3 linked regions of the Drosophila melanogaster genome follow. The protein of the gene in region 3 interacts with the protein of the main gene of each other region in a pairwise test. Each region holds a gene or a part of one and is shown on either strand. Other genes may lie near its edges.

The links. The genes of interacting proteins can lie anywhere in the genome.
Region 1: the proteins of CG11248 (region 3) and Vsx2 interact in a two-hybrid assay, tested with the Drosophila melanogaster proteins (one large-scale study listed by BioGRID).
Region 2: the proteins of CG11248 (region 3) and CalpB interact in a two-hybrid assay, tested with the Drosophila melanogaster proteins (one large-scale study listed by BioGRID).

The regions. Positions count from the first base shown.
Region 1 is NC_004354.4:5,556,796-5,561,697, forward strand, and holds the start of Vsx2 (visual system homeobox 2), read right to left. Parts: upstream 3,389-4,902; 5' UTR 3,168-3,388; coding exon 2,615-3,167; intron 1-2,614.
Region 2 is NT_037436.4:9,886,914-9,894,207, reverse strand, and holds CalpB (Calpain-B), read right to left. Parts: upstream 5,447-7,294; 5' UTR 4,925-5,446; coding exon 3,984-4,924; intron 3,918-3,983; coding exon 3,643-3,917; intron 3,425-3,642; coding exon 1,863-3,424; 3' UTR 889-1,862; downstream 1-888. Other genes in the region: Hez (hezron), read left to right, coding at 1-216; CG6709 (uncharacterized protein), read left to right, coding at 428-499, 554-690, 744-888; Taf2 (TBP-associated factor 2), read left to right, coding at 5,639-5,688, 5,752-5,806, 5,869-7,294. UniProt on the Drosophila melanogaster protein: Calcium-regulated non-lysosomal thiol-protease.
Region 3 is NT_037436.4:21,677,826-21,684,033, reverse strand, and holds CG11248 (uncharacterized protein), read right to left. Parts: upstream 3,985-6,208; 5' UTR 3,882-3,984; exon of another isoform or gene 3,802-3,881; intron 3,735-3,801; 5' UTR 3,728-3,734; coding exon 1,601-3,727; intron 1,540-1,600; coding exon 1,411-1,539; intron 1,355-1,410; coding exon 1,118-1,354; 3' UTR 803-1,117; downstream 1-802. Other genes in the region: Sfp78E (seminal fluid protein 78E), read left to right, coding at 192-369, 432-706; Als2 (amyotrophic lateral sclerosis 2), read left to right, coding at 4,536-6,208.

The sequences.
Region 1 (4,902 bases), on a different chromosome or scaffold from region 3:
TTATTACTCTTACGAATATTCGTAACTGAATTTAAACGTAATATCTATTTAGTAAGCCGTTCCCCAATGGATCAGCATCAGCATCTCAAGCTGGCTAACTTAAATTTTGAACTCATACATACCAACTTAGTTACTTATTATCTGTATACATTGTTGGCATGCTCAGCTAAAAAGTGGAAAATCCTAAATGGTTAATTTCGAGAGGCGAGTAAATTGTCGAAATCTTTGCAGCACAAGTGCACCAATACAAGGAAAATCTTGAATTGTATGTGTGTGTGGGGATGTGCAAACACATCAAAACGACTGTCACAACAAAGCGACGCGCGTAGCCAAAGTGAAAATTGTCAATTAAATGTGTGGCGGTGTGGTGTGCGAAGAAAAAGCGCTTTTCTTATTGTCGTTGGGCAACCAATTTTCCGATTTGGGTTTTCCCTTCTGGTAAAAGATCAAAGGCACTTAATGGAGGGCGCCAAGTACTCAGCTCTGGACAGGAAATCCGTCCGAAATCCGGCCAGAAATTCGCTCGCGATTCGACCAAACCTGATGCGATTTTTTAATTGACGAGCTGGCCACGCAAATGGGTATAAAATCAACAACGGATACCCGAAATATTCGTACGACAACGAAGCGAGTTGAAAATATGCAAAATTAAATAGGATGACGCGAATGAAAAGCAGAAAGCACGGCTAAACAGAACAGAAGAAAATGGGGAGTGAACTAATAAGCACGACTACTGCATACCCTAAAACATATAAGCCTTTCCTAATTTATAAGCTTTTACCACAGGCAGACCACTTTCTCTATCTCTATTTATGAGCACGACTATTACATACCCTAGAATATATGCTTTTAGCGGAGGCAACCCACTCTCTCTCATCATCGCAGAGCAACTCGCCCTGTTTATTGCACCAAAACTAATGAGCACAACTATTACATACTACATACATTACCACTATTTATAAAACCTTAACTAATTGGTCATAGTTTAAATTGTAATCCCAGTCTGCTAGCCCATACTACCCATAACTATTTAGCAGCTAAGAGCAGTGCTCTTTCCCACATTTATTAAACGCAAATTACGACGAAACTGTGGAAATGGGCGATAAACGGATAGGAGTATTGTAATTAAAATAACGCATAAACATCGAGCCAAAAAGAAAGCCGCACAACATGCGAAATCAATAAAAAAAAAAATAATAATAATAAGACCCCAAAAAAAAGGGTCCGGAAGTGTAGGGGTAAACAGATTTGAAATCAAGAAATCAGATTCAATCTACTCATATATGTATCTACATATCCACATAAGTTGAGTGAGTGCGCAGTGAAATTGGCACAGTGAATCAGTTGCAGAGCAATGGAAATCGGTGATGACGATGATGATATTTCAACGCTAATTAAAATAATAATAACAATAATAACAGCTGCCACTTGAATCTGCAAGATTATCTGCAGAGCCTCGCACTTTTCACAGTGAAAGAAATTTGGCTAAACGCTTCAGGATTTTGTTATTAATGCCATTCCAGATATAGTTCACAAATCCAATGAGAAATATAACAATTTGAAGTGCTTATGTTGTTAATCAACTGCTTACTTCTGGCAGCCAGCAACTAGTTCCTAGTTTTTTACCGTGTATCCAATCCCTGCACGGCTTTTCATGCCTTTCTGTTTATCTGCCTTCACTGTCATCGCTCCAACTTCGTATGATATTGCCACTTGCAAATGAGCTTTGAATCGAGAGAGACAGCAGGTCGACTCGAGTTCACTGTTAGTGTGTGGGATTTTCTTGCAGTGTGCGTGTTTCATTGCCTGTGCTGATCGCCAAACAAAGGCGCACCTACAGTGGCACAAAAGCGACCAAAAACCTACTCGAAAAGCATACCAAGCTTATTATAAATTGATTCGGATTTCCACTGATTCTAGAATTTTATTTAAACAATATGAAAACTAACTATTGTCGTTAGTGTGCCCAAACTATTGCAACAATTGTGAAGCCCAGTTTTTGCTATGCTCAAACCAGAGTGCAACACACACACAAACACTCACACACACACATCCACACACAGTGCAATTAGCAGCTCAACTTGAGTGGTGGTGCTTTGGATTGGAGTGGCTTCGGAGGCGGATTGCCGGATTGCCGGATCGGTGGAGCGGTGGTGCGGATGCGGGCGTTGTGTCGTTTGCAGTGGGGCCAAAGCTGATTTGGCGGACGATGGACCGCTGATTAATTCCTTTTTTATGCTAACTAAGCGGCACTCCAGACACCGATTCGCCCCACTGTGTGTGCGTGTGCGTGTGAATCGAATGTATCTGTATCTGAATCTGAATCTGTAAATGTATCTGAGCATGTGTATATGTGCGCCTGTGTTGGTGTGTCTGGCAGGTGACAAAACCAGTTGCGATTGCTAATTGCGTTTAAGCTTTGATTGTCAGTGTAAATACATCGAACAAAAGATTTTTAAAATCGCTATAGCGAAATATATGTAAGTTAGCTACGGCACTTTTCAACTTTCCCATGTTCAGTATATGCATAAATGAAAAAAATATATATATCTGTGTTTTACTAACTGCAATTAACTGCAATTTGAGTGGTTCGCTGGCGGGGACATTGGCTTACCCTGCGCGTGCAGCAGCGGGTGGTGCGGATGGTGGGGGTGGTGGTGCTGCATCGGCGGCGGCGGCGGTGGCCCGCCAACGGCTCCGTGTGGGTGGTGCGGGTGGTGGTGTGGATGGTGCTGGTGCTGATGCTGATGATGATGGTGCACCGCCGCGGCCAGTTGGTGGGGCATAAAGGCCGCTGCCACCGCCGCATGGGCATTGAAGTAGGCCATTCGCGAGGCGGCCGCCATGGTCATTTGGTGGTGCTCCCTGTACTGATGGTGGTGCGGCTGGTGGTGCTGCTGCTCTTGTTGCTGCTGCTGCGGCTGCTGCTGTGGCTCCGAAACGCTCGTTAAATTGCCTTCGGCCGCATTTGTTGGTGTTGCTGCCGTAGCTGCTGATGTTGCTGCTGTTGCCATTGTGGCATTTGTTGTCTTTGGCGGCGTTGGCGTTTGGCGCTCTTTTGCCACCGTTGCACCGGCAGTTGTCGTCAGATCGGTTGGCGCTTCTGTGGCCGCCGCCACCGCCAAGCCCAGCAGCTCCTGAATGGCAAATGGCGAACGCTGCGGCATTTTCGATTGCTAATATTTCGATTTACGTCTAGATATTGCCGTTGTCAAAACAAATCGCTTGAAAACATCATGCAGTCCCAATTGAGAAACCCAGAAAACAAAAAAAAAAACAAAGCAAAGGCAAGTTTTGCAATGTTGTAAAGACTACGCGAAATGGGATTTGCGAATGGAGGTTTTGAGATTTTGCGCTGGCACGCGTCGCAGAAAAACACACAACAAATTCGCAATAATTTCCACGTTAAACTGTTGCCTGCGTTAATGTGCACCAGGAGTTTTGTCGTCGCAGTTGCTGTTTCTGTTTGCTGTTGCTGTTGCTGTCGTGCTGTTGCTGCCGTTATGTTGCTGCTGGTGGTTGGCTTTCGACTTGGCTTTGCATTTCGCTTTGGATTTGGCCAAGGAGGCATTCAGCTAACAAACGGTAAACGGCCAGCGGAGCTTTGCTCTTCCGAGGACCTCAAATCGCATGGCAAGCGCAGCAGCAACATTTGCAGCAGCAGCAGCAACACCAACAGCAGCAGCAACAGCAGTAACGGCGGCAACGGCGGCAAAAGCAGCGCGCCGACAGCGACGCTCGCGTCGACTGCGCTGCCCGGCAACGGTAAATATTCAGGGGCGGTCTCTGTCGCACGCTAGCCGCACTCTTCGCCGCTCAGCGAGTGCGAGGGAGTCAGCAGCATATGGGCCTTCCCCTCGGCAACATGGCGCATGTGCGACATCCATTCGCCGTTAGAGTGAGGAGAGCAGCAAGCGCCTTCCAAGCACCATCTAGCCGTGCTCTTCTCGCACACGCGTAACCTTCCAGTTTTCCCGCGAACTTCCAGTTCGGACCGAAACGCATTAGTGTTGGTGCGCTGCTTGCCGTTGTATTGGTGCCCGATTGCCACAGTGTGCGGCGCCCATTTTGTGTGAGTGAAAGAGAGCCAGAGAGCGCAAGAGTGGGAGAGGGCATGGTCAACAGGGCTGGGGTGGCGCAAAAAAAGGCGCAAGAAAACAACTATTTCGCAGACCCGAACTCGAACTCGGAACTCCAACCGCTCTCCGTTCAATGAAGGACGCCAATTTATGGCCCAAAAAACGAGCCACCATTCGGTTTCCAGCTGGTAGAAACTACTCACTTGTCGGCCGCCTAACAATGCCTTTCCCTTCCCCAAAAAAAAGGCAGTCTAATTAAAATTTTCGCCAAAAACTTGTACTATTGAAATGCGTAAATTAGCATTTACACCACGTCCTGTGTGCATGAGTGTGTGCGTGTGTGCCAGTGGGAGAGTCCTTGCTGCGCAGTTTTGCAGGATTTCAAGAGATTTTGGGGTCGTGCTATGTGGGTTATTGTTCTCGGAGAAATGTCCCGAAATTCGGCAAAATAATTCGGCTTGATTTCGGCAGCAGTCGAAAAGTAGAGCTTGTAATGGACTTGCAAATTACTGCTAGGCAATTGAGGGACTTACAATTAACTCGGTCCCGAAAGGGATCTCCTACAAAAGGCCATACACAGATAGAAAAAACGTGTTGATATTTAATTCTCAAAAAAATATATAAATATATTTTGTTACGCATCGATTATATTCTATATACACGCATTGATTTCTATTTAAAGAAAATAAAGACACCAGCAATTGGAAAGCCACGATCAGTGGCAGGCAAACGGGTCTTTTGGGGCTTTTCTCACGCCCCCACACAGTGAGCTCTGCCTATGGAGAAACCCACGCGGCAATTAGACAATTGAAATGCCAACGCT
Region 2 (7,294 bases), about 12 Mb from region 3:
TTTGGTCAAGCTCTGTTCAGACTGTTAGTCAAGCGATTCGGTGATCCCGCTATCATCTGGCAGAACAAAGGCGACCAAGTGGCGATCAATATACTCCGTCAGGTGGTCATCGATGCGCCGTATGCCACGGAGAATATCCGATACCTCGATTGGAATCCCAAGCTGGCGATATGCGTCCAAGAGGTCGTTCAAAACTTTTGCAGTAAACAATTCTAGAACGATGGCCCGTGCCCATGGCAACAGTTGTCTAGATAGCATCCGATTCTCTGTACGTTTTGTTTATCAACAAAACAATTCAAAATACACATACATATAGCCATGACACCCACACAGAATACTGCTCTTTATCTGCCAGGGGAAACCATTCTCGTTTGTACAAATTCGATTTAATACACTACACCACAACACCCAACACACATAATACACGATGGCCGATGATGAAGATAAACCAAAGAAGCACACGCTGGACAGCCTGTTCTTGGTGTATTCCAACTTCCAGGTATGATGAATGACCCGGTTAATTGAAGAGTAATTTTCATCTAAATGATGCCAGGTCATACCCACCGACATCGAGAACGAGTACTTTGACAGCATACTCCTCTCGCAGTTGGACGCCTGGCTAGAGCAGGCCAAGCTCATGCCCAATCCCATAACTCGAACTCAGACCGGTTTAATATACATGCGATACAAGTGAGTAACTACATCAAATCTACATATCATTCTTAATCAAATACATGTTTCAGGAAATGGCGTTTGGAGTACGAAGACTTTCTCGAGGTCCTAAATAACTTGGCATCCGATAACAATCTGGCTATAGATGAAATGAAGCAAATAATGATCGATGCTGGCGTCCCGAATGGTGCTGATGTAGTTATAGTCGTCAAGTAGATTGAATCATCACTGCATTTTATTTATATGCATACAAAAAGTCGGACAACAAATTATTAATAGTAACAATTGCATACAAGAGTAACTTTGATTAATTCACAAAAATTATAGTAAAATATAAAAGCATCCAACAAAAAGAGCCTCTAAACCCGATTGGTTAATTTCAGTTAGTTAAACACTTATTTTGACATAGAGGGTGCCTAATTAAGGTATGTTTTGAGATTACTGATCTGAAAACTAAATACAAAATATATGCGTATTACATTTTTTGATGTGATTCAATAAATTGACTGATATTCTGAAATTCTGCTTAAGCTTATAAATATTCGATGAGTTGGTTGGCTTGTTCGCTTCGCGTTACTTTCCTGATAATAATAACAACGTTTGTTTGGGTAACAGAGTTTGGCTGGACTTATTTCTAGCACCTGGGCAAATATGTGGACTGCTCGGAGCTAACGATGTTACAAAAATACATGCTTATTCATTCCGTATATCTAATAAATATTGTCGATGCGTTCTAATGGCTTTCCGAGCGTCTCATAGCGATTGTAAGGTAATAATGCACTGTTTGTACTAGTAAATTTCCGGCTCTTGACGAGGTGCATGGAGTGGATTTGCTATTGATGCTTGCTCTTAGTCATCCCTCCAGTTGCGCAGCATGGTAAAAAAAAATCTATAGCGTTAATTTTTTGAATTGTGTATGCGGGATTTATACTGTTTACCGTGCATACTCGTAGCAACCTCGTGCCGTTCCAAGGCCACTCCAATTTCGCCACATGATTTGTATTTCCGGATATGGTCATATAGATAAGATTCTCTTGTTGGCTCAGTGAGTGTATCTCTTTGCATCGCCGGATCGCATTGTCATGGATTTGTGTGTTGGCTTTCTCATTTGAATGCATGAATAATATGATGCACAGGTAGATTAAGTATACGTCGCACTTAGGATTAGATTAGTAGCAATTGCAAGTAATTTAAGAGTAAATTGTTCGCTCCAGCCAGTCGTCCAAGTTGAAGAAGGCCGTGTCCGAATTGTCCGTGTCCCGTTCGCGGAACATCTCGATGAATGTTCTAACCTTGATGGCACACATCAGGAAATCGTCGAATGGTATTTGTCCCTCCCGCGATCCGTAGCGATGGGCCAGGGCGTTCAGGAGCCGGTTGTTCAGATGATAGCCAGCCGAATTGAGTGCTCCGCGCAGATGGAATCCATCAATACTGCCAGTGCGACGGGTGTCATATAGCTTAAAGACCGCCCGCCACTTGGCAATATCGGTAAGCAGAGCTTCGAACTCCTCGAAACCAAGGCGACCGGAGCGATCCTTGTCCAGCATGGCTACCATCGAACGCACGGCATCCTTGGAGAAGCCATCACTGCCCACCATAACATCGCGCATAGAGTGGTCCAGGATGCGCTTCAGCTCCTGCCAGTCGACTTCCTCATCGCTGCCAGCCACGCTGTCGAACAGACGACGCAGTGCAATGCGCTGCGGATCATCCTCCTCCTTTGGAGTCGGTGGCGGCAGAGACGGAGCAATGCGATCGTCGGTCTCGCCAAAGCCAACCTCATCGTCGTTCTCCTCCATATTGTTCCTTGTCTCCGAGAAGACGCGAATAATGAACTCGCCCTCCTCATTCGGATCGAAGGTCGATGGAACAATCAGGTAGTGGCCAGGTGGCAACTTAAACCGGGCGCAAACCTCGCGCGTGTTGATAAAATGTGGTGAACGCGCCACCGATGCTCGGTACTTGAAGAAGTTGAGTCCCTGGGGCTTCACTTGCATGTCACGGTCTGTGAGATGATATATAGCAAATCCGATGGTCAGACAGTCGATGCCCACGTTGCGCTTGCTACGTCGATTCTTCTGCATAAGGGCCACAATAGCCGTGCATTTGCCATCGTCATCCTCGTCGTCGGGATCCTCCAGCGAAATGATGTACTGCGGATTGTGCCAGAAGGTTTCCAGGAAGTTTCTGCAACCGCCGGCTGTTACTCCCGATGTCCACTCACCCTCGAACATGGACATTTCCCACTTGCGGCGAGAGCTGTGCTGCTGATCCTCAGTCAGCGAGTCGGGCGACAAATTACATATCTCCACGCGATCAAAATGATTGAGGAAGTCCTGGAAGGACATCCAGAACTCGCCGTCCCTATCGAAATTCAGGCCAATCTCCTCCTTCGTGTGCTCCGGAATAAATCGCCACTCAGGCGAGCTGTCGCTCCACGGACCGCTCCATTCGGCATCGTTGCCCCATGGATTACGCATACGTATCATGGGCAATTTTCCCTGCCGATTGGGCGTCGATATGTCCATGAGGCACACCTTGGTAATGGAGTATGCATGACCGCGAATCAAACCTTGTGGCGTCTCCGCTTCCAGAACATGTGGATCCGGCTCCAAAGAGCAGCCCATCATCGAGCCACGCTCGGCGGCCTTCATCATGATGCTGAATAGATTTGGGGGCGCCTCCTTGATGTCGTACCACTCGGTGACGCCGCCAGTAAAGTCCTCCATGGCCTCGCACGTGGTGCCGCCTAATCGTGAAGAGATGGTTACAAAAAAATTATTAGAATGAAAGTATTTAAATTTCAGATCTATTCAACAAAGTCCTAACCGCGATAAGTGCCACATTAGTTTATTTTTTTTTAAGAACATATGATAAGCATAGTGTATTTTTAGAAACTAAAATAAATTTTGGTATGCCACAAATTTTCTACGCTTCTACAAATACTGATAATATTCCATTTCCTACCCTTGAGTGCTTCATAAGATCCATGCAGCTTTGCATAAGCCTTCTCCAGCAAGGCACTCCAAAACTCGTTCTTCTCCGTGGAGTGCATGTAGATTAGCTCGCCATTATAGGTGGGCAGACGGTCATCAATGACCACTTCCACCCACTTGCCATACTGCCAAAACTTGAAGTGAAAGATGCCAGCGTAGTTCTCCTGGAAGTCCTGATCCGGCGGGATTACCCTAAAGAAGAGCGTCGAGTCCTGCGTCAAATTGGCAGCTGCAGCCAGTAGCCAGCTGTGAAGGAATATTTAATTTTTGAATTTATGTCCACTTATGTGTTATTAATGCGTTTGGTCTTACCAATCGCCAAGTTCTCCTTGTTGCACATCGAATCGTGAATAGCCTTCCACGAAGAACTGCGGATCATCGGCGATGTCACCGGGACGCAGCCACTCGTAGTAGCGATCCGGTCGTCGTGAGTACATCAGCGAAGCGTTGGTGGCCGGAAAATCGGGATCCTCGAACATGGTTCCATTAGCCAGGCAACTGTCGCGCAGCGATTGGAAATCGCCTTTGCTTACGCTGTTCTGCCGGGCACTAGTGGCCTTGCGACCCATCCAAAACATGTTCTGGTTCTCGGGCACCTTCACGCTGGTGAAGCTTAGCTCGGCCACGCCGACGGAAGGTTCCTCCTCCTGGGTTGGAGCACTTTCCGGTGGCGGTGCCGTGGGATATGGTAGTGCTGGGAATCCGATATTGTGCTGGGGAGCCGGACTCGTTGGCATGGGAGCGTACGGCATTGGCATACCGGGCAAACCGGGCATGGCAGATGGATATGGTGCGAGCGGAGCCGCCGGATAGGGTAGATTGGGCTGCGGCATGCCAGTTGGATAGGGCATTCCGGTTGGATAGGGCGCCATAGGCGCAGTGGGGTACGGCAGCGATGATACGTTGGCTGATGGCAGACTAGGATAAAGTCCTGATCCAGGGTATGGCGTGGCACTGGGGTATGGAGCCGGCGCTGAGGGGGCTTCTGGCACGGGCATTCCCATGCCCATGGTGGGTCCCGCATACGAAGCATTCTGGGCATGACTCGTCTGCTTTACCACATATGGCATTCCGCCCACGGATTCGGATGATGGATAGGGCAACGAGGGGTAGAGACCCGCTTTGGGTTTGGGAGCTCCTCCTCCTTCGTTCCCGCCGCTGACTTCATTCTTGCTGTAGCCCAAGGCCGCCAAATTGACAAGGCCAATGCCACTGGCATGATAATTCTTGGGGTAATTATCAATGCCGTACATTTTTACTGGTTTTTCGCTGTGGTTTTCCTCGTCCACGCACTGGTTTTTCCCTAAATCTAACTACTAATGGCGTTGCAAATCGGCTAAAACTACGGAACTGGATGATATCCAGATGTTTATTAACTCGCTGCCGTGGTAAAACTGCTGACTCGCTGAGAATCGTACGCTTTAAATGGGAGAAGTATCCAAATTTAACTTTCTCGGTAAATGATTCATAATCTTTAACCCTTGCGCGTTCTGTATAAATTTTCTTTGAATATGCATGTGCAATCAAAAAAGCTTTGAAAATGCAGAATGAAATATTTATAACATTCTAATTCATTTATTAACTCAGAAAATATATTATAGAAATATTAATTTTGTTTTATTAAACAGTTTCAATAAAAACAAATATAGCTTTTAATAAATTTTAGTTTTCTAAAAAATGTATTTTTATGGTATTAGAGAAGTAGTTATGTAGTCTATATTGTTTACGAACGTAAACTATTAAATTAGTGTCAATATTGAAGACCCAACACGTTTCGAGGGTTAAAAAAAGGCGAGCAGGGCTACATTGTCGCGCAGAGTTGCCATCTTTATCCGAATGAATTTGGTATTTTTTTAGCCCTGTCGGCATTTTCAATAGAAGAAGAAGAAGTTAAACAGTGCTGTGTTTTTTTTTATAACAAACGCAAATTAGTTAATAAATTCTGGCGCAGAACCGGCATTTGAGCGATGGAAACGCAACCTGAGGTGCCCGAGGTGCCGCTGCGACCGTTTAAATTATAAGTATTCACCCTGCTCTGTTAGGAATCCAAAAATAATGAGTTCTCCCTTTTGAATAGCACGGCGCATCAGGTTGTGAGCCTCACGGGCATCAGTTTCGAGCGGAGGAGCATAATCGTAAGGATATAACTTAGATACACTTAAATATGTACAAAACATAACACACCTCCTCCCTTTAGGGCGTGGTCGAGCTGACCATTGTGCCGAACAGCGAGAATCTGCGCCTGATACGCCTGAATGCCAAGCAGCTGAGAATCTACAGCGTCGTTTTGAACGATGTCTGCCAGGCGGATTTCACGTACTTCGATCCCTTCCAGAACATCTGCTACAAGGAGCACAAGAGCCGCGCGCTGGAGGTCTACTCCAAGCATCATCTGACCGCCGCCCAGTACACCGATCCCGATGTGAACAACGGCGAACTGCTCATCCAGGTTCCGCCCGAGGGCTACTCTATGATCCAGGAGGGTCAGGGTCTGCGCATCCGCATCGAGTTCTCGTTGGAGAATCCCAAATGCGGCGTACATTTTGTCATACCACCCGCTTCAACGGACGAGGAGACACAGATGAACAGCTCGCATATGTTCACCAATTGCTATGAAAACTCGTCGAGATTGTGGTTTCCCTGCGTGGACAGTTTCGCCGATCCCTGCACCTGGCGGCTGGAGTTCACTGTCGACAAAAATATGACCGCCGTTTCGTGTGGAGAACTTCTAGAAGTCATTATGACCCCAGATCTGCGAAAGAAAACCTTCCACTATTCGGTTAGCACACCAGTATGTGCACCAAATATTGCGCTGGCTGTGGGTCAGTTTGAGATCTACGTGGATCCGCACATGCATGAAGTGACCCACTTTTGTCTGCCCGGATTGTTGCCGCTGTTAAAAAATACGGTTCGCTATTTGCACGAGGCATTTGAATTTTACGAGGAGACCTTATCTACGCGCTACCCATTCAGTTGCTACAAACAAGTGTTTGTAGACGAATTGGACACGGACATAAGTGCCTATGCCACTATGAGCATTGCTTCGGTGAATCTGCTGCACTCCATAGCTATCATCGATCAGACCTATATATCTCGAACCTTTATGTCGCGCGCTGTGGCTGAGCAATTCTTCGGCTGCTTTATTACATCCCATCATTGGTCGGACACCTGGCTGGCCAAGGGCATTGCGGAGTACCTGTGTGGATTGTATTCCAGGAAGTGCTTCGGCAACAACGAGTACCGTGCTTGGGTGCAATCTGAACTGGCGCGTGTCGTTCGCTACGAGGAGCAGTATGGCGGCATTATTCTCGATTGCAGTCAGCCGCCAGCTCCTTTGCCTGTTTCGGGCACAAATCAATCGGCGGCTTCCAGCAAACAGCAGGAGATTGTCCACTATTTTCCCATCAAGAGTTTGCACACCGTATCGCCGAAGTATGTGGAGGCGATGCGAAGGAAAGCGCATTTCGTAATCCGGATGCTGGAGAACCGCATCGGGCAGGAGCTGCTGATTCAGGTGTTCAATAAGCAATTGGCTTTGGCTTCAAGTGCGGCAACGACAAAGATCGGTGCAGGACTCTGGTCTCAGCTGCTCATCTCGACCAACATTTTTATCAAGGCCATCT
Region 3 (6,208 bases):
ATAACAATTCCCAATGTAAGACGTCCGGAAACGTATATAAACTATAGTGTTATTAAATTCTGAACTCAGTTGCAGGGGTGTATCTTTGTTCTGTGGAACACACACATTACACATTAGGCTGATCCAATACATCAGCAGACTTGTTTGAATCAATCAGTCATAGAGGAAAACTGCATCAGCAAGGTTGAGCTATGAATATCTTTATCTCCTTAATATTGGTAGTGCTGGCCATTTTATCTTTTGCTGACCACACCGTGGTAAGGGTAAATCCGTATATGGAGTATTATGGATCGTACATTTATTTTAAGGCAGACGGAGATCGGCACCTAAATGAGGACTTAAATCGAGCGACGGTAAAGAAGACTAAGTGTATGGATTACATGGATACGAGTAGTATTGGAACATCTATGTTAATAATTATTTCCCCCCAGATGGTTGGCAATGTGCCGGGGTGACGTGCCCCATAAAGTTTACGGCATCTTGTAAGGTAACAAAGGTCCTAAAGCCCTCTGATCTACAGCACACTGAGCTCCTGATTTTGTGCATGGATAAAAACGATAAGCCTATGTGTGGGATAACACGAACTCGAAAAGGGGTAATACAGGAAGTTCTGGACGTGGATGAAAACGGAAATACGATATATGACAAAAAGGAAGTTATTTCGGAGAACGATGGTACTAAAATCCCTAGGTGCCCACGAAAGTAAATGATGTGCACTGATCGACTTCACACAAATATGTTTTATCTACACAAGGTTTTTAACTTTAAATGTTATGGACTATAAAAATAATTACACATTTTTGTGGCAACCAACAATGGTTTATATATCTTGTAGAAAAAATATTGGTATAGTTTGGCAATTAGTATGTATATAGAATTGGTGAAACTAACAGAATGCGTTACACATAAATAAAGATAACGAACACAAAAGACAACAAAATAAATATTTATATAAATTGAACTAAGTTGGATCTGATTGAAAATTAGGCCTATGAGACTAGGCACAAAAACTCAATTCACTAATTGCCCCTTTTAGGAAAACAAAATTTGAGACTAAACAAATAGGTACTAAATAGGAAATTTATAAGTATTTGACTGAAAACTAAATTATGCTCGTCTAAGAGTGCTCGGCCACCGCTCGAAGTTCATCCATGAGGGAGGGCATGGGCTCCACTCTCCTCCGTTCCCGACCAGCAATAATAATCCTGCTTAGCTCCTTCATATCAGACTGGCAGGCGGAAATACCCTCGCCTAATTGGCACAAATTCGGTTGGCATCGCTGACTCCGCTCAATCAGATCGAATATGAAGCTGTTGCGAGGGCGACATGTTTCATTGGCGGTTTGCTGAACGAGCTGTAAATCAATTAAGGAAATGTCAAGAGAAGCCAATCGGAGGGGAACATACTTACCTTCTTGTAGTCATCAATAAGATTAGCCACTTCATGGGCGGGTTCCTGGGGCGTGTTGCTAGCCGTCGATTTGCCCGAGTCCGAGGCCTCAAACCGCGCTCGCTCCATTACCAAAGTGTGCTCCAGACACTGTAAAAAGCAATTAATTGTGTTACAAAGAGTTACTTTAAGGGAGTAAGACATAACATACCTTAATTTTTGACAAAGCTTGCTGATGCCTTCCGCTGATCTCCGCCAGCTTCATTTTAAGCCCAGGAAGCTCTTCAGCCTTTCGATTGTTAACCCTCCCATTTCGCAGTTCCTTTCGAAGAATTTTGGCCAACTGAGGCCAGCTTTTTATATGTGGTAGCCTCCTTCCTGTTTCCATCTCAAGAACGTGACCAAGAGATCGCAAACACTCTACTGCTTTGCGTTCTTCTCGCGCAATTTCCTCCTTCTCATCTAGCAAAGACTTTACCTGGCCTTGCAGCCTTTGCATGTTAATCGACGCAGCGGAGTTTATCTTCAGATTCTCTTGGAATGTTTTCTTCAAAAGCTGTAACTCTAGTCGATTTTCCTCGTCCTGCGCTTGGCTCAATTTCTGGAGCTTTTGCAGTTCATCATTTTGTCCAGCGAACAATTCATTCAGGTGCTCCAATTCAACCGTCTTATGCTGTAGTTCTGATCGCATTTCCTGCTCCAAGCTTTGAGTAGCTTGCAGAGCATCTAACAGTTGTTGCCAGTCTGCTTCCATTTCGTTAGTGCTCTTGATTTTAGCTTCTTGCTGTTGAAGCAGTATTTGGAGCAGCGAAACTGTGTGCAATTTTTGGCTCCTGACATCCGCTAGTTGTTGTTCCAAAGTCTCAATGCGTTGAACTAAAATCGGATCTTCGAGGTCCGTTTGGGTCGCTTGGTTGTGTTTCAACTGCACTTGCCAGCCCTCTGTCTTTTTGATTTGGACATCGATACGGGACTCTGCTTCGGCCAACGCTTTTCTCAGCTCATCACACTGCGCTGCATAATCTTTGAGTTTCTCCATTAGCTCACTTTCCTTTAAGGAACCGTTTTGCTTCATTTTGGCAATCTCGATTTTCTCCAGTTCCAATTGCTGTTTAGTCTTTTGACACAAGGAGCACATTTCGGCATACTGTTTTTGAAGAATGTCCACCTTCTGCTGTAGATTTTTCAAGGTCTTTTGCGCCTCACCTAAATTTTCTTTTAAGCCTTCCTTATCTAGTTGTAACGAAGCCAAAGAAATTGTTAAATTTTCCACCTGCTCCAGTTTTAGAGCATTGCTTTGCCGAAGTTGAGTCTCCTCCAAAAGTTGTGCCTGCAATGCGAACTCCAGTTGCTCAAGCTGACGCTGCTGTTCCTCGCATTGCTCTTTCATGTGAGACATCAGCATCAGCTCGGCCTGAAGCTCGTTAAGAGAATTCTTAAGGCTGGCAATTTCACTCGTTTTTCTGTTGATCTCTTCGTGAAATTTCATGCTATAAGAGTGCATAATTTCCATGCTACTCTCCCGTTTCAGCTTTTGTTGGTAGTACTGTTTCAAATCCAGGAACTCCTGTTCCTTTAGCGCTAACAGATGCTCCTGCGTTTGCAGCGTCTCGTTAAGCTCAGCAATGACTTGGCGCAGCTGATCACGCTCCGCGGTGACACTGCGTAGGGTAGTGCTTCTTAGCTCTAGCTGGTGCTCCATTTGACTTTTAAGGTCAAGTAGTTGCTTGCATTTTCCAGTCACGTGCTTGCTCTCCAGCTCCATGCCGACAACAGTTTGCTGCAACTGCGAAAGTTTTTCATCGTGTTCCAGACTGATCCTCTGGATGTCGTCCAGAAGCATCTTCTTTTGCCTTCGGAGCACGTCGATCAACTGACGCTGATCCCGTAGGCGCGCCTCCTGCTGTTTGGCCTCAAAAGAGGAGTCGTGTGACTCCGAGTCTGCTTTAAACGGCGATGAGCCAGGGGAAAATGGTGAGCCCTGCTCCTGCTGCTTCTCCAGAGTGGCGCATTGTGTGTGCAGGCGGATCGATTCTTGCTGCAGCTTCTGGTTCTCCATCAAATACTTCCGTTCCTGTGCGTACAATCGTTCTAGCGTCTGTAGCCTGCTGTGCTTCTGGGACTTAAGCTCCTGCTTGTACCACTGCTCCGATTTTAAGAGCCTTTGCACCTCACTGCGCGTCCGAAGCAGCTCTTGCCGCACCAGAAAAATCGATTGGTCCGGTTCAGGCTGCGGCGCCGGTTTCTGAGCAGGATCTCCTACTCCATCATCGCTAGTGCAGCTAAAGTGCCCTGAGTCGTCAGCCAAAGCTGTAGCGCCCTCGCAGTCCAAATCCATAACCGAGCTGAAAAAATTTTATTTTAGGAGGGTGAGTTTGTGGCTTAAAACAACTTTTGTGGGCGTATGCAAACCAGCAGTACCACACGGAGGTGTCCACTGAGTCGTACTAGTTGATGTTTCTGAACAATTGTTGACGGTTGTTTTTTTTTACCGTGGGTAACTTTTCCTAATTAACGATAAAACTACATTTTAAGCGAAATAAACAAAACATGCAAAAACTTTTGAGTCGAACAGCTGATGGCAAAAACAATATGACCATATTAAAACAAATTGATGTATCGCAAAAAAATACCAAAATAACTTTTTTGTGTTGACTGGTTCCATGATTATGGCGAATGCAACTAAGGAGTTATTTAAATTTATATAAGAGTTCTAGCTAACTACAATATTGAGTTTACGTATAAGGTATTATGTGTGTTTTCAAAATTGGTTATAAAACAACAATTTGCATGGACCAAATAAATAGTGATAAGCCCAATTTTAGAACGTCACTTTTACCCGAACACCCTTACTTAATAAATTCTCATTGGGACTCGATAGCGCTGGTCACACTAATCCAAAAAACCATCACAAAAACATGAATTCTTATTAGCCAGTTAAGAACAAGTGAAAACAGAATTTATTTTATCGTGGCAGCTAGAGTTGCATTCCGAATCAAGTTATATGATGTTCGTTGGTGCCAGTAGTGCCTAGCGTGGACCGGAGCACGTGCACGATGTGAGAACGACCTGCAGACAAATCGAGCAATTGCGTCGTGTTACAAAGCTTTGGCCCTGTCCAAAACCCCAACAAAAATTTGCACATCATGGCCAGTGCAGCGGATGACTCGGCACTTGGGGGTCAGGAGGAGCGGGAGTCCTTCACCATCTATCATGAAGGCAGGGAGCTACAGCTTCACTGGCGCGGATTGCCGCCCCTGCAGCGGTTTCCCGCATCCCGGATTTGCAGCAATGCCGGCGGGGAACTGCTCCTTCTGACCACTGACCACGCCCTCTACTCCGCCAAGCTGCAGGCCAACCGCGAACACATGGATCTTCAACTCCTGCGTACCGATGTTGTGGATATGGACTTCTGCTCCGGCAGTCAGGAACTATTCGTAGTCCTCACCAATGGCTCTGTGCAGCGCCAAGCCACGGGATCTGGCCGGGATGTGGGTCATCCACATGCGTGGCAAACCCTCGGTTTCGACCCTCTCGAATTGCATGCTGAGGGCGTACGCATCCGACGGGTTTGCTGCTCCGCCCAGGGCGTTGTCTTCGTCGGCGCTAGTGGGGAGACCTATGTCATGGGCAGCTGCGGCGAAGTCTTCAAGGCAGAACAACAGCCTCGGCACATGCGCCTTTACGAAGAGGGCAAGGAACTGTTGGACTTAGCAGCCGGAAACGAGCACTTTGTGATGTTAGTAGCTCCCTACAACCTGGCCGACGATGCACTCCAGCTGTCGGTGGCCAGTGCGAAGGAAGAACCCGAGGATGAACGGGCCTCTGTAAAATCCATAAGCAGTGGCCACTCGGAGCGCAGCGTTGCGGCTAACACAAGGCACCTTCTTCACCAAGGATACGCTCTGCTCCACACCCAACTTTTCACATTCGGAGCCTCCAATAATGGTCTCCTGGGCAGTGGGGATCATATCCGGAGGGCCAATGTGATGCGCTTGCAGAAACTAGACAGCATGGGCGTGTGCAGCATTGCAGCTGGATTAGAGCACACGGTGGCCCGCACTCTGGACGGAAGGCTCTACCACTGGGGCCTGAACAACCACTCTCAGTTGGGTGAAGATGTCAGCTCGCCCATGGAGATCACAATTACGGAAAACACGGCAGCACTACCCATAGAACAAAACTCGGCGCTTGAGGCGACTTGCGGCGACTACCATACACTACTGCTCAATGCCTCGGGTCAAATACATTCCCTTCAACCTGCGCCTCCAATGCGACATCTGCAGCAGTCCAGCACATACGCGCAGACGCTTCTCCAGCTTCAGTTGGGAGCAGCGTGGCCCAGACAACTACGTTTGCTTATGTGTTCTGGCGGATACACACTTCAAAACCAAAGGCAGTTCCAGCGGCAGTATCACTACTATCTGAGTCATCTGCAGTCACAGTTACAACTGCTTCTCAAGCATCGACAGGCAGTCCAAACACTCGAAATCTGGCAAAGACAGTCGGCACTGGAGCCGCTCAGCGCCCTCGGTCCCTTGCTGATCAACTGGGAGAGAATACTGTGCCTGCTAGTGGCCACTTTGCATTCGCTAGAGGGATTCTACCGAGCGGACTTTGTGCAGCCTGCCGACCTGTTGTTTATCTGTCATTACAAAGAGTACATCGATCTGTTTGACGGCTACACAAAGGCCTATTGCGATGTGTTCTCGGTCAATGGATTTGGAGAGGCGGTGGTCGCCATTACTGGACTCAGCAGCCCGCTGGCCGAGCTCAACGAGGAGAGCTACGTCACTCGGTTGTTCCAGCAACCCTTCAG